Mus musculus: one gene and its partner. The protein of the gene in region 2 interacts with the protein of the main gene of each other region in a biochemical or structural test. Links are inferred from orthologs where the notes say so. Each region holds a gene or a part of one and is shown on either strand. Other genes may lie near its edges.

Region 1 (3,649 bases), about 6.2 Mb from region 2:
AAGACTGCTGGAGGTAAATAAGAGTCTGTCTTCTGCACCACGCTGCCGTCCTATCCCCTGGAGCTCTTAGAGGTTTCCCAGTGCCTTTGGCCTGTCACTGCAGGTGTCTGTCTCCATCATTCCTCTCTTAGGACTATGAGATTCATGTGACCCCTGGCGTGCAGCCACCCCCCCCTCAGATGGGCGAGATCATCAGTTGCTGTGGAGGCACTTTCCTGCCCAGCATGCCTCACTCCTATAAGGTATGGCAAGCATAGGAAGTGGGAACAAGAGAGGGTTGGAGGAATGATGGAGGGAAAGAGGAACAAGAATGAGGGAAGAGAGGAAGAGGTGCTGGCCTCAAAGGGACTCGGTGTTGTTGTTTTTTTGTTTTTGTCTTGTTTTGGTGTCAGGTACTTATTTTTTTATTTTTTATTAGATATTTTCTTTATTTACATTTCAAATGCTATCCCAAAAGTTTCCTATACCCCTTCCCCACCCCAGCCTCAGTGTTGTTTTTAAGGTTTAAACATTTTCAAGCAGCCAGATATGGTGCTCCACATTGGCAGTTTAGCACATGGGACTTGAAGCATGAGGAGAAGTTCTAGGTATATACTCATGGAAGCCCCTGGGACTGCGTGTCCCTTTCTTTTTTTTTTTTTTTTTTTTTTTTTTTTTTTGGTTTTTCGAGACAGGGTTTCTCTGTAGCCCTGGCTGTCCTGTCACTTTGTAGACCAGGTCACTTTGTAGACCAGGCTGGCCTTGAACTCAAGATCCACCTGCCTCTGCCTCCTGCATGTCCCTTTCTTACTCACCCCCACCCCCACCCTAACATTTTTTTAAGTCTATTTTACACACAGAGAAGAGGGGCTGGAGAGACAGCTGTGGTTAGGAGTACTTGCTGCTCTAGCATGAGCACAAGCGTTTGCATCCATCACCCACAGAAGGGCTCACAAGCATTGTAACTCCAGCAGCCAGGAAGTCAGAAGCCTTTTTGGCTTTCTTTTCGTTTAAGTGACTGATTAATTTATTAAGATTTAGTTATTCGGGGCTGTAGCGAACGGGGGCCAGAGCAAGTGGTCTGGAGCAAGAGGGAGAAGGAAAGGGGGGCTGGGAGGGAAAAAATTATTTATTGAGCTGGCCATGGTGATGATCCCAGCACTCAGGAGGCAGGGGCAGGAAGATCTCTGAATTTGAGGCCATCCTGGTCTACATAGCAAGTTCCAGGACAGCCAGAACTGTGTCTCAAAGAAAAAAAAAAAGGAAACAAAGAAAAAGACTTATTTTGTGTGTGTAGATGTTTTGCCTGAACGTATGTCGGCACTATTTGTGCACCTTGTGCTGGTAGAGGGCAGAAGAGAGTAGAGGGTATTGGATCCCCTGAGACTGGAGTTACATATTGTTGGGAGCTACCATGTAGATGGTGGGAAGCAAGCTTGGGTCAAAAATAGATAGATATACTTTGCTTTGCGCCCATAGTTAATAGTTTCAATAATGTTACACTTCTTTCTTTTTTTTTCCTTCCTTCCTTCCCTTTTTTTTTTTTTTTTTCTGTAGTCAGGCAACCTTTTTTTGTTTGTTTGTTTGTTTGTTTGTTTTTTGAGACAGGGTTTCTCTTTATAGCCCTGGCTGTCCTGGAACTCACTCTGTAGACCAGGCTGGCCTCGAACTCAGAAATCCGCCTGCCTCCGCTTCCCGAGTGCTGGGATTAAAGGCGTGCACCACCACGCCCAGCTTCCAGGCAACCTTTTAATGCAGTTCCTTATGTTATGGTGACCCCCAATCATAATATTTATTTATTTATTTATTTATTTATTGTTTTTTTTTTCGAGACTGGGTTTCTCTGTGTAGAGCTCTGGCTGTCCTGGAACTCACTCTGTAGACCAGGTTAGCCTCAAACTCAGAAATCCGCCTGCCTCTGCCTCCCAAGTGCTGGGATTAAAGGCGTGCACCACCACCACCCAGCTCCATGTATTTATTATATTTTCTGATTCTCTATTGTGTAGTGCCCCTCGCCCTCACTCCACCCCCTGCCTTTGTAGGAATTGACTTCCAGCAGGGAGGAGACCAGCTGTCCCTGAGAATATTCCTCAGTCAGGACTTTCCTGTGTTCCCTTGTTTGCATCGTTTTTATCTTATCCCACTATATTCTGTGTCTCATGCAGATTATGATAAAAGCTGCAGTGGGGGCTGGGAATGGAGCTTGGTCGGTAGCCTGTTTCCTAGCATATACAGAACTGGGCTTGATACCTAATACACATAATACCTACCTGTAATCCCAGCACTCTGGAAATGGGGACAAGAGGATCAGAAGCTCAAGGTTATCTTTAACTATGTAGTAAATTGCAGGCCAGCTTGGGTTAGTTATATGAAACCCTTTTCAAAGACAGGGGAGGGTAGGTTGAACGTTTGCGTGAGTGTGTTGTGTGTGTGTAGGTTCAGTTCTGAAACAGCTTAATGGGTCCTGCATCTGTTTCAAAGTTCCTTCCTAACCGTCTTTGCTGTCTCTTCACAGCTTCACCGAGTCATCATAACTTGCACTGAAGACCTACCACGCTGTGCTATTCCATCCCGCCTGGGGCTACCCCTCCTCTCTCCTGAGTTCCTCCTGACTGGAGTGCTGAAGCAGGAAGCCACACCAGAGGCCTTTGTTCTCTCCAATTTGGAAATGTCATCTACCTAAAAAAATATGTACCTTTACCTTCTCAGACCATCGAACAGTCCTAGAAAACACTTGGAAAAAGGAACACACACATACACAATTAAGACGGGGCAAGGTGGTTCACACCTTTAATCTCAGCACTTGGGAGGCAGAAGTAATCATATTTTTCTGAGTTCTGGGCTAGCCAGAGGTACATAATGAGACCCCATCTCAAAAACCAAATCAAACAACAAACCTCAGGGTTTCACAAAGGCCTAAGGTATATTGTATCATCGTAACTGTTTGGGGAATGTGAATAAGGCCTAAAATGTTTTGGGGAAAAAAGGGAACTTTTTTCCTAAGATAGCCAGTTTTTTAGTTGGCTCACCTGAGCTGGGTATGGCTCTCTACCGAGCACCTGCCATCTGCCCAGCTGTGCTCCGAGGAAGCTGCTCCAGGCTCAGTGCCCTGACTCTACCTCCTGTCCAGAAGCCAGCATTTTCTCTTTACTTCCCGGGGTTCTACTCAACATGAAGCAGCTCCCAGGAGTGCTTGGTTGAGAAGATGAGGGTAGCTCATGGGTGTGGCTAGGAAAGGCTTTAGTTTTGCTGTACTTGCTCTGCTTTGCAGTGTTGGCAGTTAGCTGTGGTCATCTCCAGTAGCTCAGTGCTCACTCTGCCTTCTTGGTGGCAGGTTTCTGTGTGGAGACACAATGGATTTGAACTTGCACTTCATTTATTATTATTATTAATTTAGAGTAAATTGTATTTGTTTTTTAAAGTTGGCTACTTTCCAGGATGTGGAGAAAGTAGAACTCATGAATACTGCTGGTGTTTGGCTTGTCCTCTGCAGTAAACAGTAGCAAAGTTATTTCAAAGTAAGCAGAGCTAGCCGTGGGCATTGCCTGTAGCCCCAGTGCTTAGGAGGCTGAAGTAGGAAGCTCACCAGTGCCAGTTCAGCCTGGGCTACAGCGTGAGAGTCGGGCGTGGTGGCGCACTCGGGAGGCAGACGCAGGCAGAGCTCTGATTT
Region 2 (3,649 bases):
CCTGGTACAAATGTGGCATTTGAATGTGCTATTTACCCCACCTGCAAGGCATGCTTCTTTAATCCTGCTTTAATCCAGCCTCCTACTATCCCCCACCCCCAACAGCTAACCAGTCAGGAGGTGCTGCTCCCACTGGGACCTAAACCTACAGTCAGGGAAGCTGAGGAAGGCCCTGCTTTTGGAGAGCACAGGACATCTGCGTGAGAATCAACCAAACCCTTGCCCAAACACAGAGCCTGCGTTCTTTGTGTATTCGCTTGGTTTGTTGTATTTATATGTAAGGGTGTTTTACCTACACATATATGCACACCATGTGCATTCTTGGTGCCTAAAACAGCCAAAACATGTCAGATCCCTTTGGAGTTACAGGCAGTTGTAAGCCAGCATGTGGGTGCTAGGAATTGAACACAGTCCTCTGGAAGAGCAGAAAGTACTCTTGACCACTGAACACTCTTCCATTCCAGATCCTAAGTTCTTTTTAGAAATTCCCACGCACTAAGGAATAAACCAGCCTTCAAATGGCACCAGAACACTCACAGAGAGCTGGCCCCCACACTGCAGCCAGAACACTCACAGAGAGCTGAACACTCACAGAGAGCTGGCCCCCAGACTGCAGCCCAACAACGCTGCTGGTGGCTCTGGTACATCTTTTCCTAAATCAAGGCACAGAACCTTCTGCCTGTCTAAAGAACGGGTCGCAAAGCTGCACTTGCGGTGAGAACTGGCTGCCAGACATGCTGCGATCAGGGTGTGCAACAGGGCGTGGTTTCCTGAACAGTCACTCCTCTTTCCAGAGGCGCCCAGGGATAGCCTGCTTAGCCTCTGCAGAGAAGGGAGGAGGGACTGTGGTCCTTAGTCTATGCAAGTGACTCTCCATAAGAGGACAGAGACGGACTTGGGCTCTTCCAGTCATCAGCTGAACAACAACATAGGCTGGGCAAAGAAATTCTCCTGGGGGGGGGGGGGGGGCTGGAGAGATGGCTCAGTGGTTAAGAGCACTGACTGCTCTTCAGAGGTCCTGAGTTCAAATCCCAGCACATAGTGGCTTACAACCATTCTTAATGAGATCTGATACCCTCTTCTGGTGTGTCTGAAGACAGCTACAGTTTACTTACATAAATAAATAAATAAATAAATAAATAAATAAATCTTAAAAAAAAAAGAAAAAGAAAAAAGAAACTCTCATAGGCATCCCACCCTGACCCAGACAACACACTTCCGCTCAAAAGTCATAGCCTGCTCCTTATCTAATCTGACTCCCAGGAAGACAGAAGCAAGCCATTGGCAGGCCCCTCCCAGTTTTGGCTGTTCTGCAAACTGTGTCATGTTCTTGGCTTGGAAAGCAAGCAACCAGAAAGCTGTAAGGCTTGGCATAAACATGGCTTCCTCTACAGGATCCTCTCTCATCTCCACCTGCCCAGACCCACGTAAGCGGTCCTTCCTCTGAAGCCACACAACACCTTCAGGTAAGCGTGAGAGGAAGTGAGATGCTCTCTCTCTTCCCAGGGCTAGTGTCATGTTCCTATGGAAATACAGGTGGAAATGAAGAGCAATGGGCTTCTGCCAGAACCAAGGGCAGAGGTAAAACTTATAGAGACTCTAAACTGAGCAAAATACTCTAGCAGGTATCAGGAAAGCAGCAAGCACACACGTCAAGGGTCAGCTCACACTCCTAGCCAGGAACCCTTCCCACTCGGCATCCACAGCACCCAGCCCAGTCTCACACTATGGATGCACATGTGTCAGCAACAGATCCCTGTCCCTACCTGGAAAAGCTGGTTCCTGTAGGGCCACTCGACTGCTATGACCAGCATCTGGCCTCTATGCTGCCCAGCATCTCTCAGCTCAGGAGTATAACCAGGCCACCCCACCCCCACCCAACCCCCACACACCGGTCATGTGACAGCATCACAGACAGGAGCTGAGTTAATTTCCAATTCCCAGAAGGTAGCAACAGAACACGACGGCCATGGACACCCCGCCTCTTGTGCCATGGCTCTCTATGCAATACCCAGCAGCTTCCTTGTTCTGCACCAAGAATCTTCTGCTGCAACATGAAGGAGTGGCTTTCTGCGGCATTAACACAGCAAGCCCCTAGTGTGGCAGCATCACTTAAACCAGCGGTTCTCAACCTGTGGGCACGACCCCCAAAGACCACCAGAAACAGATATTTACATTGTGATTCATAACAGTAGCAAACGTACAGATGGTTATGGAGTGGTAACCAAATTAATTTTATGGTTGTCAGTCACAACAAGAGGGACTACTTTAAAGGGTTGCAGCATTAGGGATGTTGAGAACCACTGACTTAAATGGACAGATATTCACTAGGAGGGACAGTTCAGGAACACTTGCCATCCCTTCCCCAATCTTCTCACCCCAAGTCCCCTGACTGGAGATGTGTTATCAAACCCACCAGGACGCAATAATGTGTGTGTGTGAATAGTGGTGCTAGGGACTGAACCCAGGGCTTTGTGGCTGACTACACCCCAGCCCTAAGCCCTTACAGAGCTTATGTATGTATTTCCATCTCTAACTGGCCGGCTGCCTTCAGCAACAGCACCACCTGGTGTGCAGACAGCAAACCATTTGACTGTTTTCTGGCCCAGCTTTTTGCTCCAGAGCAAGCGGGAACACACCTACCAGGTGGAGCTCAAACAACAGAGACTAACTCTAATTCGGTTCTTTCCTATGCGGGCTACCTGAACTCTGCAGATACTCCCATTTCTCCTGCCTGTACTCCAAAAACATTTACTAAACTCTATTGTCCAACTTCACCCTGTAAAAACGCCTGCTGTAGCTAAGTAAGGAAGCCCTTTGTCAGGGAGTAGGAGTTCAGAGCCACTCACCTCTCCGTTCCCTAATAAGGACACTTCTTCTTTCCTTCACGTCTGAGCTTAGGTTATCCACCATCTTACTAATGCAGTTGTCCAGAACCAGGGAGTTGGTTCTGGACTCAATGTCCTTTCGACAAATGGGACACTCTACTTTCCGTTTCATCCATTCATTGATACAGAAGGAGCAGAAACTGTGGGCACAGTTCAGGGTGACAGCCTGCAATGTGAAAGGGACACTCTTACTTTCTCAAGCACAACAGAGCGAATCTCCCAGGCCCACAGGCAGACTCACCACAGCCCCGCCTCACAGAGGCTCCGCTCTGCTCCGGCTGGCTCAGCACCCGGTTCTGCCTCCCTTTCCTCCCACTCCCCTCCAGTTCCCACAGTCCTAAGCAACCCATCAGACTGGAGACTACGCTGGGAATGACTTGCAGCCAAAGTGGCAGCCAAAGTGACTCCAGTCACAGACCTGGTCTTTCCGCAGGAGGCAGACACACCCAATCTTCCTAGGGGCTGCTTGGGAACAGCAGTCTCTCTGCACACCCATCTTCCTTTCCAAAGGTGTAAAAAAGACTAAAACTCACCTGCTACTCAACTGTATAAGCGTAACACTTAGCATAAAATGAATTGGTTACAAATGGTACGAAAATGTATGAAAATTAAAATAGCTGGTGTGATAACATGGCGAAGTAACAAACGGTAGCCTAGGAGACAGGTGTTTGCTTATCTTTTTTTTTTTTTTTTTTTTTTTTTTGGTTTGGTTCTTTCCAGACAGGGTTTCTCTGTGTAGCCCTGGCTGTCCTGGCACTCAC

What was found.
Region 1: the proteins of Rnf8 (region 2) and Mdc1 form a complex in vitro, tested with the Homo sapiens proteins (2 studies listed by BioGRID and IntAct, with this or other methods). The link is inferred for Mus musculus from reciprocal best matches to the Homo sapiens genes RNF8 and MDC1.

Annotation. Positions count from the first base shown.
Region 1 is NC_000083.6:35,854,969-35,858,617, forward strand, and holds part of Mdc1 (mediator of DNA damage checkpoint protein 1), read left to right. Parts: coding exon 1-13; intron 14-131; coding exon 132-242; intron 243-2,494; coding exon 2,495-2,662; 3' UTR 2,663-3,649. UniProt on the Homo sapiens protein: Histone reader protein required for checkpoint-mediated cell cycle arrest in response to DNA damage within both the S phase and G2/M phases of the cell cycle.
Region 2 is NC_000083.6:29,635,223-29,638,871, reverse strand, and holds part of Rnf8 (E3 ubiquitin-protein ligase RNF8), read right to left. Parts: intron 3,055-3,649; coding exon 2,850-3,054; intron 1-2,849. UniProt on the Homo sapiens protein: E3 ubiquitin-protein ligase that plays a key role in DNA damage signaling via 2 distinct roles: by mediating the 'Lys-63'-linked ubiquitination of histones H2A and H2AX and promoting the recruitment of DNA repair proteins at double-strand breaks (DSBs) sites, and by catalyzing 'Lys-48'-linked ubiquitination to remove target proteins from DNA damage sites.